Linked DNA regions of Schizosaccharomyces pombe. The main gene of each other region encodes a partner of the protein of the gene in region 2 in a complex. Each region holds a gene or a part of one and is shown on either strand. Other genes may lie near its edges. The genes, in order: arb1 and ago1.

The links.
Region 1: ago1 (region 2) and arb1 share a complex: the UniProt entries of both Schizosaccharomyces pombe proteins name them as parts of the argonaute siRNA chaperone (ARC) complex.

What each region holds. Positions count from the first base shown.
Region 1 is NC_003424.3:1,892,712-1,908,344, forward strand, and holds arb1 (argonaute inhibitor protein 1), read left to right. Parts: upstream 1-7,254; 5' UTR 7,255-7,340; coding exon 7,341-7,454; exon of another isoform or gene 7,455-7,495; coding exon 7,496-7,578; exon of another isoform or gene 7,579-7,617; coding exon 7,618-7,635; exon of another isoform or gene 7,636-7,674; coding exon 7,675-7,926; exon of another isoform or gene 7,927-7,987; coding exon 7,988-8,720; 3' UTR 8,721-8,894; downstream 8,895-15,633. Other genes in the region: Arv1-like family protein Arv1, read left to right, coding at 215-349, 405-983; sdh2 (succinate dehydrogenase iron-sulfur subunit protein), read left to right, coding at 2,753-3,580; gar2 (nucleolin), read left to right, coding at 4,812-6,314; protein ctr1, read left to right, coding at 9,608-10,495; SPOM_SPAC110.06 (uncharacterized protein), read right to left, coding at 13,017-13,109; serine/threonine protein kinase Ppk1, read left to right, coding at 15,557-15,633. UniProt on the Schizosaccharomyces pombe protein: Component of the argonaute siRNA chaperone (ARC) complex which is required for histone H3K9 methylation, heterochromatin assembly and siRNA generation. The ARC complex contains mostly double-stranded siRNA.
Region 2 is NC_003421.2:332,170-349,273, forward strand, and holds ago1 (argonaute), read left to right. Parts: upstream 1-1,909; 5' UTR 1,910-1,967; coding exon 1,968-2,096; intron 2,097-2,302; exon of another isoform or gene 2,303-2,467; coding exon 2,468-4,843; 3' UTR 4,844-4,901; downstream 4,902-17,104. Other genes in the region: mrps8 (mitochondrial 37S ribosomal protein uS8m), read right to left, coding at 1-314; YTH family RNA-binding protein Mmi1, read right to left, coding at 5,660-5,816, 5,861-6,009, 6,063-6,178, 6,226-7,185, 7,314-7,398; SPOM_SPCC736.13 (dehydrogenase), read right to left, coding at 8,600-9,619; TOG/XMAP215 microtubule plus end tracking polymerase Dis1, read left to right, coding at 10,865-10,915, 11,183-13,780; lipid binding protein Pil1, read left to right, coding at 17,003-17,104. UniProt on the Schizosaccharomyces pombe protein: Required for G1 arrest and mating in response to nitrogen starvation. Ago1 regulation of cytokinesis and cell cycle checkpoints occurs downstream of dcr1. Required, indirectly, for regulated hyperphosphorylation of cdc2.

The DNA.
Region 1 (15,633 bases), on a different chromosome or scaffold from region 2:
TTCCAACGGCGACGAAAAGAAGCTTCATGAATATTTTTCTCTTCAAATATAATTTACATTATTGTAAGCAAATGACGATCATTCAATTTTTGTCTCCATTTATCTTGCTTAATGAATACTGAGAGTGGAATGCGTAGTCTTGCTGTAATCGTTAAGATCGACTTGTTCTTTAGTTTTTTTTAAGTACAATTTCAAACTAACGACTATGTTACAGAAAAACTGCAAACAGTTTGCGGACAAATACATTGAATTAGATGTTGTTCTCATCAGCATGGATGTAATTTTGATGAAACCGCAAGTTTACCGTCATCTTTTGTTTAATTCTCTGTCGGCACGAACATTTCGTAACGTAAGTATTTTATTCATTTCAATGGCTTTTTAAATAGCTGACAAAATGCGCAAAGGTTGTCAATTTCTGCATATTAATTTCCCTTTTCAACGTTTTTTTAGTTTGGTCACGACTAGAAAAACGCGCAGCCCTCTTCCCCTACTTCACACCTGCCCAAGCATTTCTCTCCCAGCCAATTATCCGGCAGTACTTGACTTTACTGCTAATATGTTTGGTTGAGACAACTGTGTATCAAATTTCAGTAGTTCTGTTATTATGCCTAACAATGGGTTGGAAATCTTGGACTTCTGCGTCTGGCGCTGTAATACTTTCTTCTAGCACAAGAATGCTACCCGTTTTCATGGTAATTTGGGACTACGACCTTTCTATAGCGGCAACCGTCGTAGAATGGGTAGTTTTGTTTAGCAATGTGGATGCGCTATGTATATTAACTGGAAGCCGGCGGTATTTTAAAATTGGCTTAATCGTTCTTTTTGCCAGTCTCGTGAGATCTATTGTCGTTTATATTTTTTTACATTTAACAGGACTTTCACAGATTCAACCATCAACTCCTTGTGATGGGTTTCAGCATTTTGTAAATCTATTATGTGTATACTTTCGTTCAATCACTTTAACTGCGCAAACTGCAGTATAATGACAAAAGGAAATGGGAAACAATACGGCATCGACATAGTGTATCAGTTATTAAAAGTTTTTATATCACCCGTTTTAAGAAACTGGTCAATTATTAGTTCTTTAATAAGTTGTTGATATTTAAAAAATATGAATTTGATGAACCAATTGAAACCGAAGCCAGTAATCATATTTCCTAATCTTGTAATATGAAACTTGAAATGGTCTAAATAAAAATAATAATTACACCCTCAAAGCATATAGATATGTAATAGATACAATTATATAGAGGAAACACTGCAAGGAAATAAAAAAGGCAAAAAACTGAAAAAAGTAAAACTATTTTGCTGAGCATAACTAAACAAATGATCATTCGAAGATATTTTTCTTACCAGTGGAATTTGTTGCATTTTTTTAATAACAAAGTTCAGAGGTTTGCTTTTGCTGTCGCTAAAGAACCCATCACAATTTTATCAGCTACGATATTTTTTAAATATTTAATCAATATATGTATATAAGTCTTTGTTCATTATACATTTGTTTAGTTATAGAAGCAACCAGGTCAGCTAACACCGTCTTAGCTCGTAATGTAAAATAAACTCATAGTAAGCGAATGAATATTTCAGTAAGTTTTAAATGAAATAAAAATTAGAAAGTAAGTAATTTATAGAACTGTAAGCAAATGCAATCAGACCCGTTGAGATTGAATACAGTAAACTATTTTTTAAACCCAATTCAAAAAAAAAAAATAGCGTTGTTTTGCTACATGTGCTGCATTTTGTGCTTTTAAAAAAATTTAAAAATAATAATAATAATAATTTAGTGTGTAGCTAAGATGTCAGCTTTTTATAATTAGTATGTTAAATCAATTAATAACAGGTTACATTAGCTTTTAGTGAAGAATGGAAAACTTGAAGATTAGGTTGGCAGACTAATCTTCAGTTGGATGTAGCCCTATTAAAAAGCAGCAGAAAAATATTCTTTCCGATTTCGGAGGGTTGTATAATGAATTAGATTTGTAACGGTAAAAAGTTTTTGTGCAAATAAGTTCCGTATAATTAACCATGTTTTTCTAATCTCTAAATTAAAACCTAATTTGAAAATAGGGCAAACATGTAATTTTCTTGTATTTCTCGACTTTTGTTTTTTATTTTAATTAAATTATCAATTACAGAAAGTATTTATTTTTTAATATGACTCTAATATTTTCATACTGTCTATCCTTTCACTCTAATCTACATGATTGTTTTGTAAATTTGGCAGTAATTCGGCTCAAGGGTTATTAGGTTACCGGTTTATTAATCAGTTAATAGCACCTTATATGAAAAGAGACGAGATTAAAGTCATACAGTTCTACCAAATAAATAGGTTTTTTTTTTGAATATTTATTTTACGGAAGTAATATTAAAACTCGAAGTATGCGTATTTAAACATTAATTAACTAAATTTGTTTGGATAAACCGCTTTGACCATCTTGACTAACTGCACTTAAGCGAGTAATACGTTAGCCAACTTCCTATCGCGTAAATAATTTAACGCTGTCTACGACAGGCCAGTAAACACGCGATCCCCATACATGTTTTAGATGTACGGGGGATTTTTTTTTGAAGAAACTGTTAAATTTAATACACAAAAATATTTAAAAGTTTTATTTTGGATATGAGTGAAAAATTTAATGTATTTTTCTGCCGCCAATAAAATTGATTCTGTTTCCATCTATAATAGCCAACCACAACGCTCGCCTTTACCAGTCTTACCAACTGCCAATATTAAAAATCAAAACATATCGAGATGTTCAGCCGTCGAATTCAAGTTTTGAGCCCGTTTTTGAAGCATTTTGTTAACAGAAATGCCCGTATGATGGCTACAGAGGCCAACATATCTGCCACTTCTGCTAATCCTCAGTCACAGGGTGAAAATTTAAAAACTTTCGAGATTTATCGCTGGAACCCAGAGAAACCAGAAGTAAAGCCAAAGCTTCAAAAGTATACAGTCGACTTAACAAAATGCGGACCAATGGTTTTGGATGCGCTTATTAAAATCAAAAATGAGCAAGATCCTACCTTAACGTTCCGTCGCTCATGCAGAGAAGGTATTTGCGGGTCTTGTGCGATGAATATTAATGGCAGTAATACTTTGGCTTGCATCTGTAACATTAAAAAAGATAACAAACCTACTAAAATTTACCCCTTACCTCATTGCTTCATCGTAAAGGATCTCGTACCTGACCTAACCTACTTTTATAAGCAATATAAGAGTATTGAACCCTGGTTGCAAAACGATAACATCCCTAAAGACAAGGAGTTTTACCAATCTCGCGCTGACCGTGCCAAGCTTGACGGTTTGTATGAATGTATTTTGTGTGCCTGTTGTTCTACCTCTTGTCCATCTTACTGGTGGAACTCAGAAGAGTATCTTGGCCCAGCAGTTTTGATGCAGGCTTATCGTTGGATCATCGATTCTCGTGATCAAGCTACTGCTAAACGTTTGGATGTCATGCAGAACTCTATGTCTGTCTATCGTTGCCATACCATTATGAATTGCGCTCGTACTTGTCCCAAGGGTTTGAACCCTGGCCTTGCCATTGCCAAGGTAAAGGCTTTGATGGCTACTGCTTAAACAAGATTTACGCTTCTTTTTGTCTTTTCTTTCGCATCTGATGATTCCAATATTTCTTGTTAAAGAGGAACCCCCGTTGTTACTTAACCTATTTTATGTTTCTCTTCTACGATTTTTTTTACTTGCGTAGCTCTGTGTTTAGCTGTCATCTATGCTACATTACTTTCTCGATCTGACCATTACTTTTGCGTTGTTCCCGTTAATGAACCCTTTATTTTTATTTGCAATATCTAAATCTAGTTTACCATTAATAATTTCGGGAAATGGTAAACTTTTCTATTTTAAAGAAAATATGCTATTTCGTGGTAACTTGTGCACAATTGAATTGTTTGATTGTGATTTTTTACGCTGTTACATCAGATGAAATAATTAAGCATGTATTTGAAAATTATCTAAACCACTTTTTTCACTGTTTATTTGTGGCTAGTTACTGCATTTAACATAGCAGCTGCTTCTTTGGTTAAAGAGTTGAAAACTTTTTAGCATATTGAGAGCCCTTTAAGGTAATTGCTTTGTAAAACTTGAGATAAGTAAATGAGGCATCTTTTATTTAATTAAAGTATCACATAAAAACGGAAATCATGTACACAATAATGAAAGAAAAATAAATCTTAATATGACGATTAAACCATGGTATTCTCCATAGGCTGGTCGAAATTTTTTGTTACTATAACATGATTTTAAAATTTCAATGGATCAACAATGTACATTTTCACGGCCACTTTTTAGTTTATAATATTTGACGAACACAAATAACTTGGATAAGATGTTATCGTTCATAAGAATTTACATATTCACCACTCCAGATAATACTACGCAAGACTAAACCTAACTCCTTCGTTTCACTGATTCAACAATTTATTAAATTTCAATATGCTTTTTACCTTTAAGACATGTTATAAGCCTTCAGACACACTCATTTTTTAAATATTAATGGCGAATATTTTACTTTGCTGGTTTGTTGTTGAATAGCGCAGATAGCTATTACTTGATAGCGTAATTAGTTAAACTCGCTTTTATAAAAAATAGTAGTAGTTGAACAAGCTTCTATATTAGTAGTTTAACGAATACGTCTAGAAAATTTGCTATACTAGTATACGGCTTCAGGTACATATATCATCGGTAAAAATTTTTTTGGCTATATATAGCAGCTTGTCGCGCCGTACCAGCAGTCAAACTAAAAAACTCCCAAATTCTTTTAAACGGGCTTTTGGTATAGGTTGTGAATATAATGGCAAAAAAGGATAAAACCTCCGTTAAGAAATCAGTGAAGGAGACTGCATCAAAGAAGGGTGCCATTGAGAAACCTTCCAAGTCCAAGAAGATTACTAAGGAGGCTGCTAAAGAGATTGCAAAGCAAAGCTCTAAAACCGATGTCTCCCCTAAAAAATCTAAAAAGGAGGCTAAGCGTGCTTCTAGTCCCGAACCTTCAAAGAAATCAGTAAAAAAGCAAAAGAAATCTAAGAAGAAGGAAGAAAGCTCCTCAGAATCCGAGTCTGAATCTAGCTCATCAGAATCCGAGTCTTCCTCTTCAGAATCCGAATCTAGTTCTTCAGAGTCCGAATCATCTTCATCTGAATCCTCTTCGTCTGAGTCTGAAGAAGAAGTGATTGTGAAAACTGAAGAGAAGAAGGAGAGTTCCAGCGAATCATCTTCCTCCTCTGAGTCTGAAGAGGAAGAAGAGGCTGTTGTAAAAATTGAAGAAAAGAAGGAGAGCTCTAGTGACTCTTCTTCCGAGTCTTCCTCATCTGAATCTGAATCCGAATCTTCCTCATCTGAATCTGAGGAAGAAGAAGAGGTGGTCGAGAAGACTGAAGAGAAGAAAGAAGGCTCCAGCGAGTCTTCTTCTGACTCCGAATCCTCGTCAGATTCCTCCTCAGAATCTGGAGACAGCGACTCTTCCTCTGATTCTGAATCCGAATCCAGCTCTGAAGACGAGAAGAAACGTAAAGCCGAGCCTGCTTCTGAAGAAAGACCTGCTAAGATTACCAAGCCTTCTCAAGATTCTAACGAGACTTGCACTGTTTTCGTCGGTCGTCTTTCTTGGAACGTAGATGATCAGTGGTTAGGGCAGGAATTTGAAGAGTACGGTACAATTGTTGGTGCACGTGTTATTATGGATGGCCAAAGCGGTCGCTCAAAGGGTTACGGCTACGTTGATTTTGAGACCCCTGAGGCTGCTAAGGCTGCTGTTGCCGCTAATGGTACCAAGGAAATTGATGGTCGTATGGTCAACTTAGATCTCTCTAATCCTCGCCCAGCCAACCCTCAACCATATGCTCAACAACGTGCGGGTAATTTTGGAGACCAATTATCTGAACCTAGTGATACCGTATTTGTTGGAAATTTGTCTTTTAACGCAACTGAAGATGATCTCAGTACGGCTTTTGGCGGTTGCGGTGACATTCAATCCATTCGTTTGCCCACAGATCCTCAGTCAGGACGTCTTAAGGGTTTCGGTTATGTTACTTTCTCTGATATTGACTCTGCCAAGAAATGTGTGGAAATGAACGGTCATTTTATTGCTGGTCGCCCATGTCGTTTGGACTTTTCAACTCCTCGTACTGGTGGAGGTAGCCGTGGTGGTCGCGGTGGATTTGGCGGTCGTGGTGGATTCGGTGGCCGTGGTGGATTTGGTGGCGGACGTGGTCGCGGTAGAGGTGGTGCTCGCTCTGGAAACCCCAACCGTGGCTCGGTTGCTCCATTTTCTGGGAACAAAGTCACTTTTGACTAAGTATACTGGCTTTTAACTATATTGAGTTCATTTTTATGGGTTAAATGTAAATACCTTAGCAAATTAATATATGAGTTTGGGTTTTTGGGAAACTTTTTGGCATAAAGGGTTTTAATAAATGTTGGGCTGTGGATTTGATTTAATTGGGTTGAAGTATTCAAATACAAATGACTTGTTTGGGTTTGTTATGGAATGAATTTGGGTTTGGTTTGGTTTTATTGACTTTATAAAGATAATAAATATGGGCCCGTTGGTTTTACAATTTCAAAGCAGTGATGGTTGGCGTTGTTCTACGGTTTAGTTCATGTATTCACCTTTCCTTTATACGTTCCATAGAAGCTTTTGACATAGCTTTAGATAGGTTTTAATATAAAATAGAATCTTATTTAGTTTTGTTCTTGTTCATCTAATCAATCCATGTTACTCACAATCATCGTTGATCACTTTCTAATAGCTAGTAAATGAAGACCGTTTTGTGTTCCTTTTTGGGCTTTTCCATACGGCACTTTAAATTAATGATTTTTTGTTGAACTTTGATTGTGGTCTTACCCGTAATCATAAATGAAGAATGTAGTCGAGCCATTGTCATATTGTCTTATATCTTCAACTTGTAATGTCTCGTCTATTAAATTAGGTAAGCATCAATAGAAGGTATCATTGATTCTACATTACAAATACGCTTCTATTTCAACTTTTAAATTAATACAAGCATGTTTACTTACACTTTGGTTGCGATTATTTTAAGCAAATTAAAAAAAAATATTTTTGTATATCAAATTATAATATAGCTAAATTCAATTGTAACAGTAGTGATGAGTTCTGGCATATTCAAAAAACGGTTGTAGAATAATATATCCAGCGTTACTAAATCCGGCAAAGGAACTGTCTACTTAACTCTATGAACAAAGCTTCTAATACAACACTGTAAATTTGGTTCCTTAGATTCCCCTTACCACACTGATAAACTAGTAAATCAACTATACGACTAGTGTACTGACTTTCCAGTCCAGATGAAGTGATTGAGTGATGGCAGAAGGTGATTTTAAAAATGACAGTACAGGTTGTATTGGCGATAGCGTGGAATTTACTACTTTTAAAAAACGTACAGGAAAAAGTCTCGGTAATAGAAGAAAAAAGAGGGTATTTCTTAAGCTTTAGAAAACCCGTCTAATAAATATTAGGGATTGTCTGGATGGGAGCCTTATTTTCAAGAACCCGAACTGACAGCTGAAGAGAAATTGGAAAATGAGACATTATACAGCAGGTGAGAATACAAAATATTGTGTCTTACTAACACTTCTAGGAACATACCATTGACTGTGTTAGTAAACAGATGTTAAGGACTTTGCTGACAAATTAGGCGAATGGAGCGATTTATTCAAAGATATCGATCACGCAGAAAATGGAGCGACCCTACAAGAATAAGACTGTTTACAATGTATCTAGATTTAGGAGGCGTTTCTACGGGCCAAAAACAGTTTACAGGGGGTACTGATATTAATAACGATGCGAAGGCACGAGAAGTTTCCGCTCAAACCACGACTGATTATATTGAATACGATATACTTGATGAATATGATATTGATTTTAAGTGGGTTGCTGGAGTATTTCTGTGAGTCATTTATGTTTCCATTGAATTTAATTCACGTTGTATTTTAGCTAATCAATTTAAGGTCGTCACACATTTTGTATAACGCTGGACTAACTAAGGAAGAGGATTTGCAAATAGCTTGTCAAATTGTTAGAAATTTTCTGCTAAGTGTTTTGCATAACAATGTTGCACCAGAATTCGAAGATAATATTCGTGACGCATGTTTATTAGCAGAGCAAGCAGAAACTGAATTAATTTCTAATAAGAGGCTATCAACTAAACTTCCCGGTAGATTGCAGCGGGCATTGGCTAGTATACATGTTGACAATTATAAAGGCTTATGGGACAAATCGCAAAGTGATAGGACAAGTGATAGTTCAGTCAATTTCATTGAATCCAATAATACCAAATTCATGCCAAATGATGAACTATTTGAGCCTGATGGAATTAGTAGATTTTCTACACAGCAAGCGCGCGACTACATCCAGAGAACTCTTGGTCCACGATATTTGACTGGGAAAGTCGTTGAACAAGAGTACTTAACAGTCAAGTTAGTTTCTAAAACGCTATTGAATTTTTCAAACCAATCTTTATGCAAAGCAGTGTTTATCGTTTGGGATCCACCCGGATCTAAATATTCTCAAGATACAAATAAGGAAAGACTAGAAGTAATTTTGGAATCTGATTTACTGAACAACACTGTTGATGGCACTCACTTAGAGGGATCGTTCACTTTTTTGGATAATGGACTGACTATATTAGACACTGTGCTTGCTGTGCTACCCACCTTTTATGAAGAAGTTAAAGATGAATAGCATTGTATTTTAATATAGTTACTTTTGTAATATAGCTGGATATGAAATCCTTTAATTAGTTGCTTCTTCTTATTGTGATGAGGATAAAGTTCTAACATATATTAATGACCCGTTGGTGAGTTCGTACTTCCCCCAATTGCATAAACAATAAGTATAAGAAATTATAATTCCCAATCACATAATAGATATTACTTGTGTATGTAATTTAATGTTTTCAAATATTTTTATACAAATACGTCAAACTATGCGACAATATTTTGAAAGCTAGATCGTGCAGAAGTCGCTTCTGAGTCAGTATTGAGCAATAAGAATTATTCGGATGATTTTTTCAATAATCTTAAGTTACTGTCAGGCTCAATGCAATAAACACGATCAAAAGAACATTTAAAGCTATAATGTGTATTCACTTTTAATTGTAAACACAAACGATTAAAAAATTTACGTGTATAAGTATTTTTCCTCTATGAAGGCTAAAACGTTATGTGGAAAAGAATAGTCAATCATCAATAACGTTCATAACTTGTACTATTGAACAAGTCGTGCTGGGTAAAGATAGAAATCAAGTAACTGGATTGGAAGTTGTGATTAGCATAGCGAAACGCAGCGCCTATGGCGAAATAACCCAGGTGAGGAAAAGACACCTTACAACTCCAAAACGACGAAAATAAATTGGTAATTGTTTTACTGGGTTAAGTGTATTGTAGAAGCATAATTGAATTGAAGAAAGTAATTGCTGTTCTTTTGGACCTGTTATTTTTGTACAGGAGTAAGCAAACTACGGCTTTCTGCAATAACTTGAATGTTTTGATATATTTACACATTCTCAATAATTTAAAAGAATTGAAAATAATTATTAAATTAATTAAAAAAATTGAAGTATCGAGTAGATGAATGTTGGAAAGAAATCCGAAATTCAAGTCTCAGCTAAAAGCAATCTTAACTTCCTTAATGAACTAATTGAGGAAAAAAAGCGATACGAGGACGAGAAGCGCAAGATTAGCCATCAAAAGTATACCGATAAATTATTGGAAGCCAATGATAACGAGACGACCAAAAGGAAATTACTGGTAAAACAAAAAAGAAAATCCAACAAGGAATTTCAAAGTAATATTATCAAAAAAAGAAAGGACGAGGAAAGAAAAGGAACTTTAAAAACTGAACAAGCTAATGAGGAAGAGCTGTTGCAAAGAAGTCGTCTGGAACTGGAACGAAAAGCTAAAAAATACGACCAGTATGCTGCCGGAGAACTGGAAATAAAGGAGACAGAAGATGATGGAATCCTTGTCGACTTCACACGCAAATGGGCTGAGGAAGCACCCGAAAATGAAACAGTTGAAATAACGGATGAATTTGGGCGAACCAGGAGTGTCTCTATTTACGAGACCGGTAATACCCTACTTTCACAAAAGGAGGAGTACAAGCCCGAAAAGCCAATATACGGTGACTATATGCCATCCTTCGAAGTAGACGAAGAAAAGGTTCAAAAATTGTGGAAGGAAGATGAGCAGCAAGCAGTTCATTATGACTCGACTAAGGAAGTAAGGAATAAAGGTACGGCATTTTACCAGTTTTCTTTTGACGAAAAAGAAAGAGAAGAGCAACTTCTATCTTTAAAGGAGATTCATGCTAAGGTTACACAACAGCAGAGAAAAAACACAGAAGATGTGTTAACCTTACGAGACAAAAAACTTGAAGAACGGCGGAAATTTCTTGAGCGAGACTATGCAATAAAGTTGGGGGAGAGATGGATGTCTGAACATTTTTCTAATAATTGAGGTAGAAACTAATGAAATGAAAACGTAATGATAACGACTCATAAACAAAAGCTTCTTAGCGAAAACAGAGAAATGTAATAGTACTGTAGGAAAAAAGGAACACGAAATCACCAAAAACAGCAGTAGTTTTCTTCTTTTTTGTTTTATTTTAACGAATTATTTATTTCTGATTATTGAATTCACAATCAGTATGAATGTGAAATATTAAATTATGTATTTTGGAGAACCATTTTTTTGTTGCGTATTTATAAAATTAATAAGGGAGAAAGGATAGGGAAAAAAGCACAAAACATATTAGCAAGAGTATACAAGCAAGTGAAAAATAATAACCAGTTGGATGGTCAGCTTTACTTAAGCATTCTTTTATAAATTTTTTAATTGGCGGCAGAAAAAGGAAAAAAAATAAACTGGACGGCCAAATATATCAAAGCAAAGAAACGTTCTGAGGATATTAAGAGGAGAAAACAACTTATATGTTTTAAAAACAAAAAACAGAAGGACAATCTATTAAAAAAAGAATCAAAACTCGAAAGCCAGCTAAGACTGTAACGGAATTAAGAGGACTTTGGGTGAACGGCTTTTGAAGGCTTTTGGATGCAACCGCCTCCAATTTCATAAAGTCGGTACAAAGCAAGGTATCCGCATACCACAATGTCCAAGACAATAGCACTCAACGTTGGCAAAATCAGAAGAAACGCAATGGTGAATGCGGAAATAACCACAAATTTGATAAGGAAAGACAAAATTTCTTCAAGCAACATAACTAAGTATATATACAAAACTAAAAGATACGTTTTGAAATGCGGAAAATGATAATTAGGAAACAGAGGAATATGACTCAGACTTTCAAAACAGCAGTTATAACCGACCGTGTACGTTTGTAAAAACAATTGAGAATATTATTAAAGTTACTATTCTCGTTTTTAATATTGGATCACTAGAAGATATTGATTTGTATGGGTTGTAATTTGAATTTCAGTAAATCAATGGCGGTAGATAATAAGGTAAAACTGAATTCCGCTGTCGAATTCAGGGCAATCTCAGCATTCCCGAGCGGTGCTTTACGAAGTGTAGTGGTGTGCGTTATTTTGCTGAAAATTGTAAACACATAAAAAACCAAACTTCAGCAAGAAGAATAAAAAAAACGGAACTGATTGGTTGTTTATCGAAATTTTTGCTAGTTGAAATACAAAATTTTTGTTTAAATATTAGTGCGAAAGAATAAGGTCTGCAAAAAAGAAAAAATGGTCTGTTTATTAGAAAAATAAGCGAAAGTTGTTTAATGTTTATACCTTTCAGTGCGCTTTTTCCATTAGTATAACTTATTTTTCGTTTTCAACCCTCTTCTATCGTTTTGAAATTTTTTTTATATTAATCGTACCATCATCATTCTCTACTCGTTTCTTGATGTTTTCGGCAATGACATACATTTGATTATACAGCCAAACCCAGTGAAATTGTGTTGGAGTGCAAAATGTATTACGACACGATATACTATGCAATTTTTTTTACCAACCGCGTATAACGCATACGGCGTAATAAGCCGTTACCATATCGTTATTTAAAAGTTTTAATTAGAAAACAGCGTAATATAACGGATATGCACAAAATGCGTTAGCATTGAAAGCTAATGAGGTCTTGTGTCTCCACACTCGAAATTGCGGGGCTTGACTAAATTCAAGAACAACAAAGAGAAATGCCTGCTACATAAGGGATTTTGCCTGTGAAATGTGCGCAGCAGATAAATGTAGATCACGGAAAAAATTTAAAGTAGCACTTGGATAGTATGATGCGTTTACAAGGAAGTTGCTCAAACAGCAGAATGTCTGGCTGTAAACAGGAAAATGTCGCAGGGGGCGAAGTGATAAAACTCAGGGTTTCATGAAGTAAAAAGTTTTGAAATTTTTTACTAAGGTCCAGAGTTGGCTGTTTTTGTAAATTTTTAATCAAGTTTGCATGATTGCTAAGTAAAAGTTGAATGTCCTAATTTGCTCGTCCGAATGTGCTCTTTTTTTTTTTTCAGCGCACTCGTTAGACAGATAAAGTGAATGTTTTGCTAGGCCATTTTCTCGTTCTATTTTGCCTCGATTGAAACGTGGTATGTTTGCAGCTAAAAGGTATGTACAGTTAAGCCCAGTGGAGACAAAGATGAAAAGGAAGTAAAGCGAACTATGAAGCGAAACTATAAAGCAAAAACAGCTAGGTCGGGGAAAATTTCTACAAGAATTGCTTAAGTTCTAAAAATTTAAGTGTTTACTTTTAGCAAGAATAAATGTGTTTTCCTTTATTTTATTTTGTATTTTTTTTTTCTTTTTTTTTGGGGGGGGGGTAGATGGGGTGCAGCGACTCTTTTAGCAAAAGCTGCGTCCACCCATAAGTGCGAAAAGACCACGTCTGTCTTTATTTGGCGTTGTCGCTATTGATTTGAATATTGGCAATAACTATAACGCTTATGCCAAAGAGAAACAAGTCGGTATAAAAACAGGTTGATATTTTAAAGCGCGATTTATTAATGTAGTTGTTAAATAATGCAGTATGGTACAGGAAAGGAATAGAGAGCAAGGTAAAGAAAAGAAGTGATGAAGGAGGGAGGTAAGAAAAAAAGAAATCTCATATTGATTTTTTTTAAAGGTATTAAAGAGTATATTTAGAATGTTTGGATAAAATATATATCTCATGCGTCCATATTCCTTCAGTCATTCATTCCTTCATTTATATACCTCTACATCTCTTTTTTTCTTTCTTTTCTTTTTTGTTTTCTTCATTTTCATTTTCATTTTTCTCTTTCTTTCCTTACCTTTTTTTTATTCTTTTGATTAGTTCCTTTGTTTGTTTACATGCGCTTGCATCTTACTTTGTCCCTCTCCTACCCCTCCAATCTCATAGTACAACTACTTACTCTCTATGCTCTCTCTCACATCCTTTGTATGCTTACACTCTCTCCCCGTCGCCCCTACGTATTACCTGCAACCTAGTTATCAAATTATCCTTCCATTACCCGGAGCTTCTACATCATCCGTTGTCAACACATTGGCCAGATCCCGCTCTCTCCTCCTAATTCGTTTCTAAAATCGTCCACATCGTCTATCTATGATAACATCGGTCTCCAAGCATTAGGGGCCTTATCTTAGATAAAATAGCAATCACTCGTCCTTTTATCAGGAGCGTGGTAGCCGAGGCCTTTTCTTGGCCAATGAAAAGTCATCATCAGTCATAGACTATGAAAAGGAATGCTACCACCCTTATCATTGGTGGTTGTTTTTGATACTGTTTAAGCGAGGTTATTTATTATTACGTAGGTGCATTGATTGTTATTTGTTTAGAGTGGACATTACTGGTGTTGTTAATAAAATGCGTATTTGCGTTAATGCAGGTGGAGCATGAAGAAAATTGAATTTATCCTTTACCAAATTCAACATTACTACTCTCTTATTCCTTCTTCCTTCTTCCTCTTTCCATCTTCATTCCCATACCCTACATCCATCCTTGATTTCCATCATTCCATACATTAGATACGTACATCTATCTAGTTAGTTACATTAGCCATACACTACACTACATACACCCCATTGATCAACTCTTTCCATTCCATTTTTTTCTTTACCGGATCGTGATTTGTGTATTGTCGATTCATCGTGTATTAACATCATCCATTTCAATCTCACTATAAACTGGTTGCCTTTTAGTTTGTTTTTGGCCCGAGATATTGGTTTTCTTTCTTTGCTCTACTTCCCCCTTGCTTCCATCCATCCCTTACAACTTTGGTCTTTTTTGTCGCTTGTTACCTATGGCCCTATCGCTTTTTCTTTTCCAGCATATATTGTGATTTGGTTTTTTTTTCTTTCACTGACAGTCCTCTTTCAACGAATCCCTCTTTATAAGGCCTTGTATTCTTCTTCTTCTTCTTCTCCTTCTCCATTAAACTTTGTTGCTAATCGATCCCCTCAAATCGTCGTCCAATCTTGGTTTGAAAAATTTTTTATTACAATTATTATTTTTGTTTCGTTACGAACTTGGCTAATCAGCTAGTTACGAGCTCGTCTGTTCTACTCTTTTTTTTTCCGCTTTTTTCTTTTTTCCCCTTTTCATCTTTCATCCTTTGCTTTCTTCCATGTAAGCCATATATATTTATTTTCTGCTAAAAAAATATTCTACTTATCTATCTGTCTGTGAATCAATCTTTGTCTACAAAGTTTGAATTTTTTCTTTTTGTGTCAACTCCCAATCACCCATTTTTGTTCCATTGTCGTTCCCTCTTTTGCTATATCTTTTGCTAGGCTTTGCCGTAAGTCTTTTGGCATTGTAGCGCAGTTAACGATTTGAAAAGCGTAGCAACAATTATTTGAATTCATAACTCATTTTTTCCATTTTTTGAATAGGAATATTCATTACAACATACTCGCGATTGTTTGTTTCCCCTTGTTCTCTGAAAAACATTTTATTTTTTAACCCTCAATTCCTAATTTCTGTTTGAAAAATCAATAGTCTACGAAGATAAACGTGTCGCTTACTTTTTTTTTCTTTTTTGTATATTTTCGTCTCTTCATTCAACACTCTCAATTTGGTTGAATAATCTATTGGGATCGAACTAAAAATCGCGTCGGATTCCAAATCTTTCGCTTTGTAAATCTGTTTTCATTGCTTACGCTACATTTACTATTGTTTTTTAATTGCTTTGTTCCTTTTTTTTTCTTTGCACCTTAACTTTTATTTTTGGCTTTCTACCACTTTAAATGTGTAAATAGGTTTTTCCTCTTCCTTTTCTTTTTTATAATCACCTATCTCTTCCTTCTCACTATTTTTTTTGTATCGTGTTGTGAACTGGAATACGTGTATCTTCCCATCTTTCTTTCTCTTAAAAAAAATTGGTCATATATCACATTTTTGTTCCTTGACCATTTTCCTCTCTTGCTTAATCCGAAAACGACTATTTAAAAATAAGCAATATATTTAAATATCTGGTTATTATTAGGTTTCGTTTTATACTTCAAAATATTTATTTAGTTTGATTCTTGATCCCACTGCCTTCTGAATCTTTATTTATTGCTTTTCTTCAAAGCTATGAACGCTCAACCCTTTCATAACAACACTTCAGATGTGCAATCCTTTCAGGACATTATAAGCAATTCCTATCAAAA
Region 2 (17,104 bases):
TGCAACAACTCAGAAGGAGTCAAGTTCACCTTTCTACTAGGCTTTGATACTGCACGTATGTAGTGAAGAACCGGTTTTCCCTCAAAGTACTTTAAACCCAACCATAGACGGCGGGTCGCTACATTTTGCCTAGTGGTGATTGTGGGTAAAGCATCGGGTCCATGAATATCTCCGCGTTGAATCGAGCTTAAAAATCCTTGATGATACAAAACAGCACATAACTCGAGCACACTGTTACAGTTAGGAACGCTTGCTAACGACTTGCGAGCGCGAAATGAATTTTGCAAATGCGAAAAAACATAATGCAATTGCATTTCGACTTTTTTAACACAATCCTAATCTTTTATAAGCAGTCCAACAATAAAAGCCTTTTTTTTCTATACAGAATGGTGTTTTGAGGAAAGAAAAGAGGTATGAATGCAGTTTAGCTAGTCACTTCCAAATACCTCTCTCTGTACTGGAAGAATAGTAAGTAGTGAACGGTGTAGCTAGTGTTACACACTATTAGCAAGTTAATGGACATTGCAGTAATCACTGGATAGTAGTATATTAACGACACGATACTAAAGTTCACAATAAATCACTATATAATAAACTAAAAGCACCGGTTTACTATGTTTGGAAAACAAGGCGCAAAATTGCAAAACCAACGGTTATTACGGCAAAAGCCGTCTACCAAATGTTAGAGATTTACTTTGTACAGAATAAAATATGGATCTAAATCGCTGTGTCAATCTGTTAATATTATAGCATTCAAATTACCATGAAACCCACAAAGTTGTCAGAAGTGGGAAGCGAATTTTTGTGCGTTTAGTAGTTCCAAAATCCTCGAAAGGTATTCGCAAATGTAATAATCGAAAAAATTATAATAAGCAGTGTTCAAAAAAACAAGCGGTACAACAGCGAACGCCTGTAAAATATAGGGATGTAAAAAAGCATTTGAATACAATGTAAATTCACAATTGTATAGGATTATAAAAATTTTTTATAAAATAATGGCATAACGAATTCTTTACTGATATTTTAATTACAGAAAAGAAAACGTGAATTGAAAACAAAAGCCTAACAGTATGGAGAACGATTTATAATGCTTCTTTATGTGGCCGATCGTCCAGAAATTACTGATTTACTCAGTATAATATATTGATTTAATTAAGTTTCGCTTCTTAAAAAGGTTGTTAGTTTCGGTAAGCTGTTTAACGAGTATTACACAAAGCACAAGGCATTTTAATTTCATAAAAAAATGTCCGTTTTAATTTGAAAGACGTTCGAAATCAACACTTTTCAAAAATCAGTGCAATTACCGAAATCATTTACTTGAAAGTTGCCAGATTAATATTCTCAAAAGCAGGTTGTAAAAATGTATTATAACTATAAAGAGGATTTCAAGCAAGCAAATATAACAAGAAAAAGAAAACAAGTAGTAATCATTGATTTTGAACCTCCCGGTATTGTTAATATAGAACTAGTAAACAAATAGTAATTCAATGTACTATAATTTTCGTCAATGGTTACAAATAACAATTGGGTTCACTTTTATTGAATCACAACCACGATATAAAGAAAGAAGGGTTAAAACTCAAAAATCCGTCGATTTGGAACCTTTAAAAAAACATAAACCTATACAAAATTATGCGGTAATTTAAGAAAAGCTGTTAAAGATAAGCTTATATTTCTTATGTTCAGAAATTAAATAAGACTTATGTTGCGTTTGCGTGCTCAGAGAAGTATAGAAATAGACCTTAGTATATAGAAAATTCGAATGTATTAAGCATGTAAATAACAAAGTGATAAATAAAATATTTTCTTGATAGTTTTTTGATTTAATATAGTTTATAACTCAAGTAGGTTTTATATACAAGACAACTATGATGAGTCCTAATCTAGGGTTTGGTATATATAAGCTTCCAACCGCCAAAGCGAATTGTCTTCAGCCAACTCGTCCTTTATGATTCAGAGTGAGTAGGATGTCGTATAAACCAAGCTCAGAAATAGCTTTACGTCCCGGTTATGGAGGGTTGGGCAAGCAGATTACTTTGAAAGCTAACTTTTTTCAAATCATTTCTTTACCTAACGAGACTATCAACCAGTATCATGTAAGTTCCTAGAAATCGCACATTTTTATGGAATTAGAGCACTGTAAAGGAAATTTACACATTTAAAGTAAAAGCATAACAGAACACGTGGCCTTTCTTGTCTGAAATATAAATATAAATACAGAAATAAATCGTGCAAGTGTTACTGGAATTGTTTAAAGGTACTTGTTAGCTTCATTCGTTATTCGACTTTACTTTACTATACCTGGTTTATTTTCTCACTTTCTTTTAATGTTCTGTTGTTTACTTTGCCTGCTACATCATTTTGTATCTGTCTTGCATTGCACGATTCTTTTCTTTTGTATTTCATCTCTTCCTCAAATTTTGTACATTAACGTAGAATTGCATCAAATTAACGCCTTTTGTTGTAGGTCATAGTAGGTGATGGTTCACGTGTCCCACGAAAGCAATCCCAGTTGATTTGGAATTCTAAAGAAGTTAAACAGTATTTTGGATCTTCCTGGATGAATTCTGTTTATGATGGGCGAAGCATGTGTTGGTCTAAAGGTGATATTGCTGATGGCACCATCAAGGTAAACATAGGCAGTGAGTCGCACCCTCGAGAAATTGAATTCTCTATTCAAAAATCATCTAAAATTAATTTGCATACTCTTAGCCAGTTTGTAAACTCAAAGTATTCTTCGGATCCGCAAGTTCTAAGCAGTATAATGTTTCTGGATTTGCTGTTAAAGAAGAAACCATCTGAGACTTTGTTTGGCTTCATGCATTCTTTTTTTACAGGTGAAAACGGAGTTTCACTTGGAGGTGGAGTAGAGGCTTGGAAAGGGTTTTACCAGTCTATACGACCGAATCAGGGTTTCATGTCTGTTAATGTAGATATATCTTCGAGTGCATTTTGGCGTAATGATTCTTTACTTCAGATCCTTATGGAATACACAGATTGCTCGAACGTTAGAGACTTAACACGTTTTGACCTAAAACGTCTTTCCCGCAAGTTTCGGTTTCTAAAGGTGACCTGTCAGCATCGCAATAATGTCGGTACTGACCTGGCGAATAGAGTTTATTCCATCGAGGGATTTTCCTCAAAAAGTGCCAGTGATAGCTTTTTTGTTCGCCGTCTTAATGGTGAAGAGCAAAAAATCTCTGTAGCTGAATACTTTCTTGAAAATCACAATGTTCGTTTGCAATATCCTAACCTACCTTGCATATTAGTAAAGAACGGGGCGATGCTTCCTATTGAATTCTGTTTTGTTGTAAAAGGTCAGAGATATACTGCAAAACTGAATAGTGATCAAACTGCCAACATGATCCGTTTTGCGGTCCAACGACCTTTCGAACGTGTCCAGCAAATCGATGATTTTGTCCATCAGATGGATTGGGATACAGATCCCTACCTAACCCAATATGGTATGAAAATTCAGAAAAAGATGCTCGAAGTTCCAGCTCGTGTTTTAGAAACTCCTTCTATTCGTTACGGAGGAGATTGCATTGAGCGTCCCGTTAGTGGACGTTGGAATTTACGTGGTAAACGGTTCCTTGATCCGCCGAGGGCTCCTATTAGATCTTGGGCTGTAATGTGTTTTACTTCAACGCGTAGACTCCCTATGAGGGGTATTGAAAATTTCCTGCAAACATATGTACAAACACTCACTTCGTTGGGAATTAATTTTGTTATGAAAAAACCTCCAGTTTTGTATGCAGATATTAGAGGGAGTGTTGAAGAACTATGTATAACGTTATATAAAAAAGCTGAACAGGTTGGTAATGCTCCTCCTGACTATCTCTTTTTTATTTTGGATAAAAATTCGCCTGAACCATATGGTTCCATTAAACGTGTTTGCAATACTATGTTAGGGGTTCCTTCTCAATGTGCTATTAGCAAACATATTTTACAAAGCAAGCCCCAATACTGTGCAAACTTAGGCATGAAGATTAATGTCAAGGTTGGAGGAATTAATTGCTCGTTGATACCCAAATCCAACCCTTTGGGAAATGTTCCTACTCTTATTCTTGGTGGAGATGTTTATCACCCTGGGGTTGGTGCAACAGGTGTTTCGATTGCTTCAATTGTGGCATCGGTAGACCTAAATGGCTGCAAGTATACGGCTGTTTCACGTTCCCAACCTCGTCATCAAGAAGTGATTGAAGGAATGAAGGATATCGTGGTATATCTATTGCAAGGGTTTAGGGCAATGACTAAACAACAACCACAACGTATTATCTATTTCCGTGACGGTACCTCGGAAGGACAATTTTTATCAGTAATAAACGATGAGCTTTCTCAGATTAAAGAAGCGTGTCATAGTCTATCACCAAAATACAATCCAAAGATTCTAGTATGCACAACGCAGAAGAGACATCACGCTCGTTTCTTCATTAAGAACAAATCCGACGGAGATAGAAATGGAAATCCCCTCCCTGGTACAATTATTGAAAAGCATGTTACTCACCCCTATCAGTACGATTTTTACCTTATATCCCACCCATCTCTGCAAGGCGTTTCGGTCCCAGTTCACTACACGGTTTTGCACGACGAAATTCAGATGCCACCGGACCAATTCCAAACACTGTGTTATAATCTTTGTTATGTTTATGCAAGAGCAACAAGTGCTGTTTCCTTGGTTCCACCTGTTTATTATGCGCATTTGGTTAGTAACTTAGCCCGTTATCAAGACGTGACAGCCGATGATACTTTTGTTGAGACATCAGAAGCATCAATGGATCAAGAAGTAAAGCCGCTTTTAGCTCTATCAAGTAAATTGAAAACAAAGATGTGGTATATGTAATGTTTGATGGATTGCATGCAATAAGTAATGAAATAGATATACGATTGACTACTGGATTGCCCACAACTTTTACTTCCTTATTAAATCTGCTTCTGTTTTTATTTTGCTTTATATTATTGTAATTTTCTTTAATCATTTAATGTTAGTTTTTTTATGCTCTATCCACTGTTGATAGCTTGACCATGTTCCAACGATCAACAAATGTTGATAACGATAATACTAATGACATTCACTTAACCCAAAGCCCGAACTTTATGTAAGTGTCACGCCAATATAGAAATACAGATAAACTAAATGATACTTAAGGATCTCAGAAGAAGTGATTAAAATCGATAAATTCCATGCACAATGGTTGAACAACCAATTTACCTATTTGTCTAATTCAGATTCATCTAGCTTTTTTATTAAGAAAAAACATCATTCAAAGCAAAATCATTCAAATTTGAAAACAGCCTGTTTGAAGAGAATCAGAATTTCTAATTTTTTAGAGTATTTGGGTTAAGTTCAAGAACCAAACATTGCATACTGTGTTAAGATTTCGTTTAGAGGAGCAAAAACAAGTCAATAATGATAATTTTACTTAACTGATTTGCTCCAAGATTGAAAATTAACACCATTATAGTGTGCATTTTTTTTATTGTTCAGAAAAACTTTTTAATAATGTTAAATCTTTAATGTTGATGAGCGACCTATACGGAATGCTTTATTAAGCAAATCCACTGCATTTAACATCAATCCGCTCCAATAGTATATAGTTTCATGAATTTTGTTAAAGGAAGCATCCAACATTCTTGAAAATCCAGCAAAAGGGAGATATCAACGGTCTCTTCCAATTCGCTTCATTATAGCATAGTTAATCAACGTACAAAGTCTGCTGCCTTCATCATACATCATTTCCATGCCATCTCTAGCTTCAGACCCATGATCCATGTGGCTAACAATTTCAGAAATTTCAGCAGAAAACAGATTGCAACTAGTTAGGTAAGCAGAAGAAATCTTCAAAAGTACAACACTTACGTTTTAATCCACTTGATGCGAACACCTCCAGCATGCGAGCTATCTGACCAAAAGGGCAGTTCGGTGCTATTTAGGTCGCTGACTACCTGAGCATATCCTAAAGCATTGTACGTTTGCTGAGCCACAAAAATAAAATAAACACTGGCTTTCTGTTAAAGTGTTAGTATAAAACTATATCGTTTAAGGGAAATAAAAGACAAACCTTATATGCATCAGAAATTCTTTTGGAAGAATCTTTCTTGACTGCCCAAATAGAAGTTTTTTTAGCATGAGCAATGGCAGTCTCGTTGTCACATAGCATAATAAAATAACGGGAGCCTAAGTTGTTAGAATTATTTGTTTTGGTTTAATGGGCTAAGCCTTACGGTGTGAAATTCCATTTTCGTCAAGAACAACTCGGGGATTAATCATCGAAATGCGTTCCCCCTTCTCATTTCTATGTTCGCTTGCTCTGGAAAAATTTAATGGAGGAGGCGTAGATGCACGAGCTTTGGGTTTTTCTTTTCTTGAGGCACTATCATTGCTGGAATTAGAAAGCAGGTAAGAAGATTTCTCAGGATAAGCTCCAACTGGCGCGACCGAAGAGGGAAGGGAGTGAGCATAAGGTTCAAGCAAACTAGGGGAGTGAGATGCACGAGTATTAGCAGGTACAAAAGGATACCTTGTTGAACCACTGCTTGCAATACCATGACGAGTGTCTTCATGAGAAAGTTGGGGGGAAGATCGAACAGGATAGGAAGAGTAACCAGCTTGGTATGCTGAAGCGGATGAAGGAACTTCAGAAGCTAAAGTGTAAGGAGGCCTTCTGTATACTTCTTCTTCAACATAACGAGAACTTCCAACAACCACTGGGTCCGCAAGCCGTCTAGGGGGAGGACTAAGTGTGCGTCGCTTGGGAGGAGGTTGTATGCCATGCAAACGAGAACGGCTATCATAGTAAGCAGAGGATTCCGAACCTGCATGATAATAATGTGGAGCATCAGTTGAATAAGAAGAGTAAGGAGGCTGACTTTCTGGATAAGATCCCGAAGTGTGATAAAGCATAGACTCACGACGAAGGGATCGAAAATAAGGCCATTCGTAGGAGTGACCATAGTCAGTGCAATGCCTGCTAAAATCATATTTACCATGTTTAATTAAGCGGGGATCATCTACCATCAATCTTCTACCGATAGGAGCGTCATGTGACTCTGGTGCAGGTCTTTTCAGAGGTGAAGAAAAGTTGTTTGAACCTGAAGTAGATAGAACACTTGACGCAACAGGCTCTCCGGTATGAGTAGTCCATACGCTTCTAGTATCGCCCGATTCGTTCAATGACGGTGGAGCTATATAAGGTGGTTAGTAAAATTCTCGACAAAATTAAACAGTAGGAGGTTTTAGGCGAAAAGTCAGTCAATTTTCAATGACACTATTTTACATTCCTCTCTGATATTTTAAACAATAATCTACTTACGCCACAGGCTTCGCAGAGCTTCCAAATTTGGAAGTTCCGGAATGGACTTTGATGACCTAGAAGTAGAGAAGTTTGTGTTTGACATTCAAATTTCTTTTATGTGTGATAAAAAGTATAATCTTTTTTTTTTGAAATCCTCTTTAAAATGCTAAAAATTTGTAAATTGAGTAACGGAAAATGAGTTGAAGCCAGAAGATTGTGATAAATATTAAATTAAGTTAATAAATATTCACCAAAATCCCTTGCTTTATATTTTTTTTACAAAAAAAAATAAAGAGAGAACCAAAAAAACCCCCCAAAAAACAAAATTGCTGGTCAATACACTAACTGAATTTATATCAACCACTATCGTTTACTTTAAAAGTCTTGCCGAGTAGAGAAATAAAAAAGCAAGAACTAGCAAGATAGATATACTCTTGAAAGAATAGCGGTAAGTCAAGTGAAGACCAAGCCCCAAAAAAAAGAAAAAAAAATATGTTTAGCCCAAAAATCACCAATTATAGCTTTTCACTTTCTTCAAAAGTTAGCTATTTCCCGTCAACTTTCAAAATAATGTTTGAATGTTTAATAAAACACTTTATTATAGGGTTTACTAGTAGCCTCCTTAGTGTTGGATTTCTGGAAGAAGGCAAGGTGCAGATAATCGTGAGAGAGTAATTTGATTACGGGTAATAACGAATACGAAGTACTTTGATAAAACAAATGAATATGAAAACCATCAATTACTGAGTAAATAAAAAAATTTCTATTTTAAAAGAGTTTTACTTTTTAATAAGTATTCCTTGTAAATTCACATTTCTTACAAATTTGTTCGGCAGATTCAAAAAATGCCCCGTGGCACAGAGAGATACTCAAAAGAAAGATTCTTTTTTAAGATTAAAAAAACAAAAAATTGCTCTGAGTGTAAATAGTGAATGGTCAAATGTCGACTAGTCGTTTCCATATTTACCATCAACATTATAAAGTAAATATTTGATTTGTAAATTAAAATACAGTCGACTAAAGTGTGGATAAAATGGCTAATACACAATACCAATGCTTTGACAGACAGAAAAGTAAGAGATCAAACCTACTGTTACCAGGGAAGAAGCGATGTAGCGACAAAGTCGAAATGCTGTTTGTGGTTCTTAAGCAATACGAAATTGTATAATATTATTACTAATATAAAGTAATCATAAAGGGATTCCAACATAAGACAACTAAAAATATATGAGGAGGTAGAAACACTTTACTAGTTTAAGTGGTTCAAGAAGCGTTCATCATTGTTCAGATTACGAGCAAAAGAATTATGGAGAAGGAGCTAAATACTTGAGATCTTCAAATATCTTATGAGTATAGCGATAAAGCTCCTCAACAAAGGCATCATCATGAGCGCGATGAAGAATACCACGCTGAGCAATTGCAGTGAAGTAAGCGCCGTTCAAGTGCTCTTTGGAAATCTCGGGACTGGTTGCAGCATATAAGGAAGTCATGGCGCCTCTGATTGGATCCAAAAGTAAATACTGGAAGACTGATTTCTCTAACAATTTGAGAGCAAAGGTAGGTGAGTAACGAGTCAGCTCGGTACGGATAACACCTGGGTGTAGACTAACGGAATATATTCCATATTTTTCTAAACGTTTGGCTAAAGCAATGGAATAAAGGATCTGGGCATACTTAGATTGTCCATAACGAGCAAAAGTACCCAAAAGTACATGCGGGAGATTTAGGTCAGGGAAGTAGATACCAGAATAAGGGGCCTGCAAATATGCAATGCTTGCGACGTGAACTATTCTAACATCGCCAGGTCGACATTCTTCTGCAGTACGACGGAGTGTGGGGAGCAAGAGCTCAGTGAACAAGTAATGTGAAAGGTAGTTGGTTTGAATCTGAAGTTCATAACCATCTTTAGTCAATTCAAAGGGAGGGTTCATGATACCAGCATTATTGACCAATATGTGTAATTTCTCTTCTTTGGCAATGAAAGACTCAGCTGCTTGGTACACGCTTTCGAAGTCTAACAAATCCAAACGAAGAAAACGGATCTTGGAATGTCTAACTTCATCGTGGATCTGTTTCATAACTTTTTGATACTTTTCCTCGTTCCTACCAGCCAGATAGACCTTTGCGCCTTTTCTAGCCAACTCGAGGGCAGTTACATAACCAATGCCACCTGAAGATCCTGTGACAAGAGCGACTTTACCCGTAAGATCGGGAATATCGTTAAAGGTCCATTTGGGTGTATTGAGACCGGTGTACTCTTTGAGAGTATTTACAATTGCGCTCTCATTCACGCGGTTGAGCAATCCCTGAAAACTGTAGGACATCGTAAAGAAATTTTTGAAGCTAATATCAATTAAAAAAAAAGAACTTTATAAACAATGAGCGGGGAGGATTTTATTGCAAAGAAGTGGCCAGAGAACAAACTTATTACCAATGTCTTTAACTCGAAACTGTAGCGATTATGAAATCAATCGATCAAGTTTGGAACAGATTCAAGAATAAATCAACAATTTTCTTTTAATAAGCGTTCTTAAGTTCTAGAAAACACTTAAATATCGTTCTCGTCGAATATGTTGAATATGGGTAAGGGTGGCTGCAGATGATAAGTTGCAAAGAGTGACGATAGCGGAAGAGGAAGCAATTCGTAATTTATACAATGACCGCTGACAAATTTCTTCAAAATCCAAGAAACTCAAGGCGTAACACGGCTTCTTTGCGGACCGAAAATTTGATCAAGCATGGTATTACATCGACTAGCTACTTTTGACTACTTGGCTTACAAAACGAAATATGGATTGTTTAGAATTGAATGTATGAATTGGGTGCTCGACAGAATATTGGAATCCTTTTAAAAATGTATAACTTGAACTTATTGTAATTGAAGAACTCGAATTCAGATTGGGCAAATGAAAGATAAAATTAGACTTAGGTATGAATAGAAACGAAAACTTAAAAATCTGCAATCTATAGGATTCCCTTCTTTAAACGAGTTAAACGTCATGTTTTATTCAGTAAGAGTCTTAGAAATTCATTTTTTCACTTATACTAGATCACAAGCATCTTACAGAGCCACCCAATAGCACATTAATCGGTTTCAAAAAGCAACTTGCATAAGGCTTAATATATCGGTGAACATTCCATTTGGGTGCTCATCTTCTGTTAGCATCATTTTGGTACGGTTTAAGATAAAGTTATTTATTTAAAGAATTAAATTACTCTAAAAACTTAAAATTATTGATGGTTTCCTCTTTTTCTCTGCTTTATTTACATTTTGCTCTAATAGTGTAATCTTGCGCTCGTTCATATTCAACAATACGATGGTCTAACGAATTGTGCTAACTCTACGGTGCTGGCTGTGTGAGTGAAACATTGTCGTCCGTAAAGTTAGTCGTCTCTATTTACACATGTACAACTCCAATTTCAGAGCCATACTCATTACTGTTTAGAATCCCGTCCGTTTCATTCGTTTTCATTTTTCTATTTGTCTATAAAATTCATTCTTTTACATAACTATTCATGCTCTGCTGGTTGTAAACATACGAGTCGTTAATTTATATTTGTTTATGTAAATGGAGTTGGACGATTTTAATAGCCGCATTCTCAGTCAAATTTTTGATAAGGTAAGCTTTTTACAAATTAATGGAGATAGAAGCTTGCTGTCCAGAAAAATGTAACTGGAATGAAAAGCAAACAAATGGAAATATCGTTGCAACGGCATTAAGGGCACTGTTGATCAATTCCATTGTATTTTACGATTTCAATTAGTTTTACTCATTGCTTTGTGTTTCCGTCACTACTCTTTTCATACCTGTTCTCCCTAGTATTGATGGATCTCACTTCTGTAGTGGGTTATTTTAAGTTTTTAGGTTTCTAACTGATTTATTTAGTCTTGGAAAGTTCGATTTGAAGCATATGAGTCTTTGTTGCATGCATTGAACCGAGCATTGGATGATTCAGACGTTTGTTTCCAGCCTTGGATTCATGACCCAGCATTATGGAAACAAGGGCTGTGTGATAGTAACGTACCAACACAAGAGCATGCCGTAAAATCTCTGCGATGCTTTTTAGACAAGTCTAGGCAAAAAGGAGTTAATTCTGCCAAATCGTTCGTTGTTGCTCCTCTACTCGAAAAATGTTTACCATCTCCTAGACAATCTATCCGTGATGCTTCTCACCAGGCTTTACTCATTTTAGCTAAATCCGATGCGCTGGACTATGTATTAGAAGGGTTATTTTCGGCGGCTCGCGTTAAGCATCCCAAGCAGGCAGTTGCTTCTATAAAAGAATTAAATAGTTTATTGGAGAATTTTGGAATCCCTGCACTTTCTCCTATTCCATTCTATAAACTGATTCCTACTTTGTTCGCCCAATCAGATAAGAATATCAGGCAAGAAGCTTCGAATCTATCCATAACCTTGTACGCTTGGGTTGGTAATGCATTCAAGACTCATGTGTTTCCTCAACTAAAGCAAATACAGGTCTCCGATCTTGAGGCCTCTTTTCAAAATGTTACATCTCGCACGACCACGGGAGGACATATTTCAAATTCCCTCAACACCCAAGAGGTGGTTCTTCCTTCTTTTTCATCGAATGCCAAACCCAAACCACATTTGTCCTCAAAGTCATCTTCGCAGGGAAACACTCTGCAACGCTCTACTTCTAGTTTCAGTACTCCTAACCGAAAGGTCTCACAACCTTCTGATTTTTCAGCATCTCCTTCCCGTTCCATTGTATCTCCTGCCAAAAACATTGTCGGAAGTACGCCCGTTGATGTTCTTTCCAAACTAACCCCAGAATTCCATACCGCATTATCTTCTCCCAAGTGGAAAGATCGAAAGGAAGCGTTGGAAAGCATGGTACCGGTGTGTTCCAATCCTGTTTATCAAGAGGGTGACTATAGTGAGTTACTTCGAGTGATTGCAAAGTCTCTAAAAGATGCAAACGTGGTGGTAGTGGGTGTAGCGGCTTTATTATTGACGCATATTGCCAAGGCGCTAAGGAAGGGCTTTCTTCCGTATACTGGTATTGTATTGCCTTCTTTATTTGATAGGTTTAAAGAGAGAAAATCGAGTTTGGTGCACTCTTTGCTGGATGCGGCCAATGCTATTTTTGAGAGCTGTGGGTTGAATGATATAATGGATGAGACGTTAGAATTTTTGAAGCATAAAAATCCACAAGTAAAAACTGAGACACTTCGATGGCTGAATCGTTGCCTACAATTGACGGATGTTTGTCCGCCTCGAGCATCGCTTGAAACGCTATGTAGCCTATGTGTGACATTGATCAACGATACGTTTGAGCCAGTCCGAATGGCTACCACAAATGTATTGGCAACACTTGTGCAAATTTTTAGTCAGCCAGTGTTGTCCAAGTATATTGTGGGATTGGATCCTAAAAAGTTACCAAAAATATTAGAACTTTCCAAGGACATTACGGTGAATGCGCATCCGAATCAACCCTCACGTCCCAGGCTGCCACGAGTGGCCTCTCCTTTAAAGACATCACCGGTTAAACTGGCTGTTACACCACAAGCACCTTCACCATTACCATCCTCGAATCCATCACAGGCGAGTTTGACAGAAGAATCTCTATCTACACGATCTTCGCCTACGAAACCATCGACGACGTCTTTGCGTAGTCAATCGTTGGTGAATAGATTTGCAAGTTCTACATTGAAAGCGCCATCATCCTCTTCAAAGGGAGTTTCGAATGCGGCGTCGTCAAAACAATCGTTTCCGTCATCCCCTTCGATTTCGAAAAAGTTAGAGACTAGTCGACTTTCCACGAAGAAGTTACCGGGATCAACGATGAAAGCAGCGTCGGCGCTCAAAGAATACCCACAGCAACAGTCTATGAAAAGTGGAGGAGAAAAGCAGGACAATTTGGTTACGATTACAATGTCGGAAAAAGTGGAGCTGGATTTGTTGAGAGAAGAAAAAGCCATTCGACAAGTTCAGGAAGCGGAAGATGCATTGGAGCGAGAACGGTTGTTTCGAGAGATCAATGATTTGCAAATTCAGAATGCAGAAATGAAAGAACAGGTGTATGAGAAAGAGTCTACGATATCGCAAAAGGAGGTGGAGATTACGAGTTTAAGGAATGAGAAGGATCGATTGAGTACACGATTGCAGCAAGTATTGTTAGAGTTGGAGAAGCAGCATGAGACGAATGAAGAAGCGATGGATATTGATTTAAAAGTTCCCGAGAGTGGAGCGATAGGGAGGGTGACGACAAGGGCGACAGCAACGACAGCAATGGACGAAAGTGGTAACGCTGGGATGGTATCGAGTGGTATTCATTCTGTGTCGACAAAGCCAAGTTCGTATGGGACACGGCGTTCGCTGGCAGGATCAATGTTACAAAAGCCGACGCAATTTTCGAGGCCGTCGTTTATGTTTTCACCAGAGGCACGAGACAACTGGAGGGAGAGTCATGATTTGTCAAGTCATTTGTGGGAGCAAATCCAAAGGATGAAGAAGGCGTAGTGCCCGGCGATGCATCCGAAAGTATGACTGATTAGGGCATGCTGGATTTAGCAAAGACGAAGAAAGGCAAATCGAGCGTCGTTTTTACGTGTTGTAAGAGAGGTCGTCAGTTTGGTGAATGCACAAGCGTGGAAATGCTGGTAGAGTTTTTTGTTGGAGTGTTTGTTAAAGTCGATTAGGTAGAGTTGAAATCACTCAATTTGTATTTCTAATTAAAGTCGATCATTTTGTAATGCTAATTGAAACGGTCAAGAAAGAAATCAGAGTTTTGGATAGATGAATAGGAAAATGTAGAAAAAGAAGAAAAGAAAAGAAAAAGAAGAATTCACGAGAAGAGAAGAAAAGAAAAAAGACAAATCACAAGAAGAAAAAGAATTCACGGGAAAAAGACAACTGCAACTTTTTTTCTGCGCTCCATTTGCCAATTCAACAAAGCGCGTCCCCTGTGCGCATTGCCAAACAAATACCACTAGCTTTAGGCTTGATCCTAGGATTAGCGAACAACGGGGGTACAGTGTAGTTTGGCGTAGTATGGAATAAGTAGGAACGAGTTTGTAGGTTTCCACGTTAAATGCAAAGTACGAAAGAGCTTTTCCACTGATAGATAAACGATGCATAAGGTTATACAGCACGTTATAAGGTATTGCACTATGCATTTTAAAGCAGCGCAGCAATTCGTTCCTTGCAAGATGGGCAAATAAAAACTACGAGGTGATAACAAAACGGTGTATTACTTTGCGAAAGCGAACGTACTGTATTACATTGTTAGTTAGTGTATTACGTTGTAAAATAATGCATTACATTGTAAAATAGTGCATTACATTGCACCTACTGAAATGCCTTGCATTCTGCTACATTTACGTGGTAGCTTACTGTACTACATTGCACTCTACTGCACTGCTTGGCACCCTCTTAACTGTCTGTCCTGCTGCGCACTGCCTTTGCGCACCTTTCCCATACCTCGGCTATATGAGACACTAACTTTATCCAATAGACGATCGCTTCTTGCGGCGTTTGGTTATCGTGCGCGCGCACCGTAGGGAAAGGAGGGAAGCAAGGCAGCGGCGGCAGAGCAGGAGTCTAGTACAGTAAGGCAGCGAGGAGGGAAAAGAAGATTTCCCATATGTCGGGAAGAGAGATTTGAGAGAGGGAGAGAAGTACGGACGGTCGGAGGAGCAGGAGAGAGAAGAAGAGCCATGAAAAAGGAAGTGAAAGTAGAAGGGAACTAGTAGGAAAATAGTAGGGAAATAATAGAGGTATTCTTTTGTTTATTTCGTTTAATTTTATTTTATTTCGTTTTATTTTATTTCGAGTATTCTTTTGTTTATTTATTTTCTTTCGTTTTATTTTATTTCCTTTTGTCGCTCTTTTTTCTCTCTTCTCGTCGCTACTCTAGCATTTCTAGCTATTATCAGTACATCGCCATGCCATGTGCCATGCAATGTTATGCTATGCTATGCCATGCCATGCCCGTTACACTCCCGTGTTCCATTTGGTGCTCCATTCCCGTATTGCCAAAGATAGATATTTCCGTATTCACTCGATCCTCTTCATCTTCCGAATAAACTGATAAAATTGTTGCAAGTATCTAATACTCATTCATAGTCAGCGTCGGCATTTTCTTAAACTCGTTTACAATCATTTCTTCTGAATTCATCTAATTTCTTCTGAACTCATTTCATCTTTCTTTTCTTCATTCTTACTACACTCATATCCCGTTTCACTCACAACTCACTTCTTCACAATATCACTCACTCTCTTTCGCTACTTCTTTTCTCTCTCTCACTTTTCCATTTCTTGTCACCTCGTTCCTTGTTACCTACCCTTGTTGCCTCTAACTTTTACCTTTTCTCTATTCTATTCTCTTTTGTTTTAACCTTTTTTTTTATTTTTGTTTCATCCATATTTATCCATTTATATTATCTTTCTTTCTATATTTATCTTTATCGGTCCATTTATCTTTTGTTTTTTCTCTTGTCTCTCTCTCTCTCTCTCTTACCTTTCTTTCTCTTCTCTACTCTACTCTACTCTACTTTACACTACACTATTCTATCCTAAGCTACTCCATCCTCCTCTACACTATCCTATCCTATCCCATTCTCCTCTGTCCTATCCTCCTCCGTTTTATCCCCTCTATCTCTATTCATTTCTCTACTCTATTTCCTTTTTACCCACTTTGCCTTCCTCTGCTCTATCCTTCTTCAACACACCCATCGTCACTTCTCCCTCTTCTCTCTTTACCACATCCTACCACTCCCCGGCCTATTCATTCTTTTCACTCTCTTTCTTTCTTTCACAACGACGACGCGTTTGTTTACCCCATCGGCCCTTCAACACTCGCTGCCCCCCTCCCCTCCCCCTTCAGCTCCAGTTAACGCGGTGCGCCAAACGCATTGGTCAACATCGCTATCCAGAAAGAAATTCGGTTTTATATTATCGCGAATGGGAACGTCATGTTTACGTGATAGAAGGAATGGACATATCTATGGCAACTGTGGCCAGCAAGCTGACCAAATGATGTTTACCTACTCTTGTTCACTACGGCAAGTGATGATATCATTTTCCCACCTTAGCTTTGTATATATAGACTGGCTCGCTCATTTACCGATACACCTTTATCCATACTCACGTTTTCATTGACTTTAGTCAAAACTTTCTTTTCTTTTTTATCCTTTAACTATACTATACTTTATTATAGTATCCTTTCTCATACCATAGGATATAACATACCTTGGGATATATATATATATATAATCTTTTTTTTTTTTATATATACCCCATCACATTTTTGTTATACCCAGAGAATAGCCGCTAAGCAAAAGTTAAGCTAAGCTAAGTGAATTTGAAAGAAATCCAAAAGGAAAATTTCCTCGTTTTTCCCTTTCCCCAAAAAAAAATCCCGACTCCTTTCCATTTTTTCATATAGTCGACAAATTTTTTTATTTTTGGGCTTTTTTTATACACACTCTCTCTATCTAACTATCTATCCTATTTAACTATATACCCACGAAATTTCGTATCGCCCTTTGGTAAAGTGTTAAACATTTTTCGTCCTACTCTTTTTTTTTTACTTATAACTCGTCCTCTCTCTACTAAATTATTCTCACTATAATTGTTCTTATTAGTATCATCACATACTAATATACTACTACTACTACCACTTATTTTTATTATTACTACCATCTCTTCTTATTTACCCACATCTATTTCTATTTCTGCAAGATGATGAACCGTGCGTACTCTTTAAGAAACAGCCGTGCCCCTACGGCCTCACAATTGTTAAACCCCCCTCCTCCCTCCTCTTCCACTCGTAGTGGTCGTTTG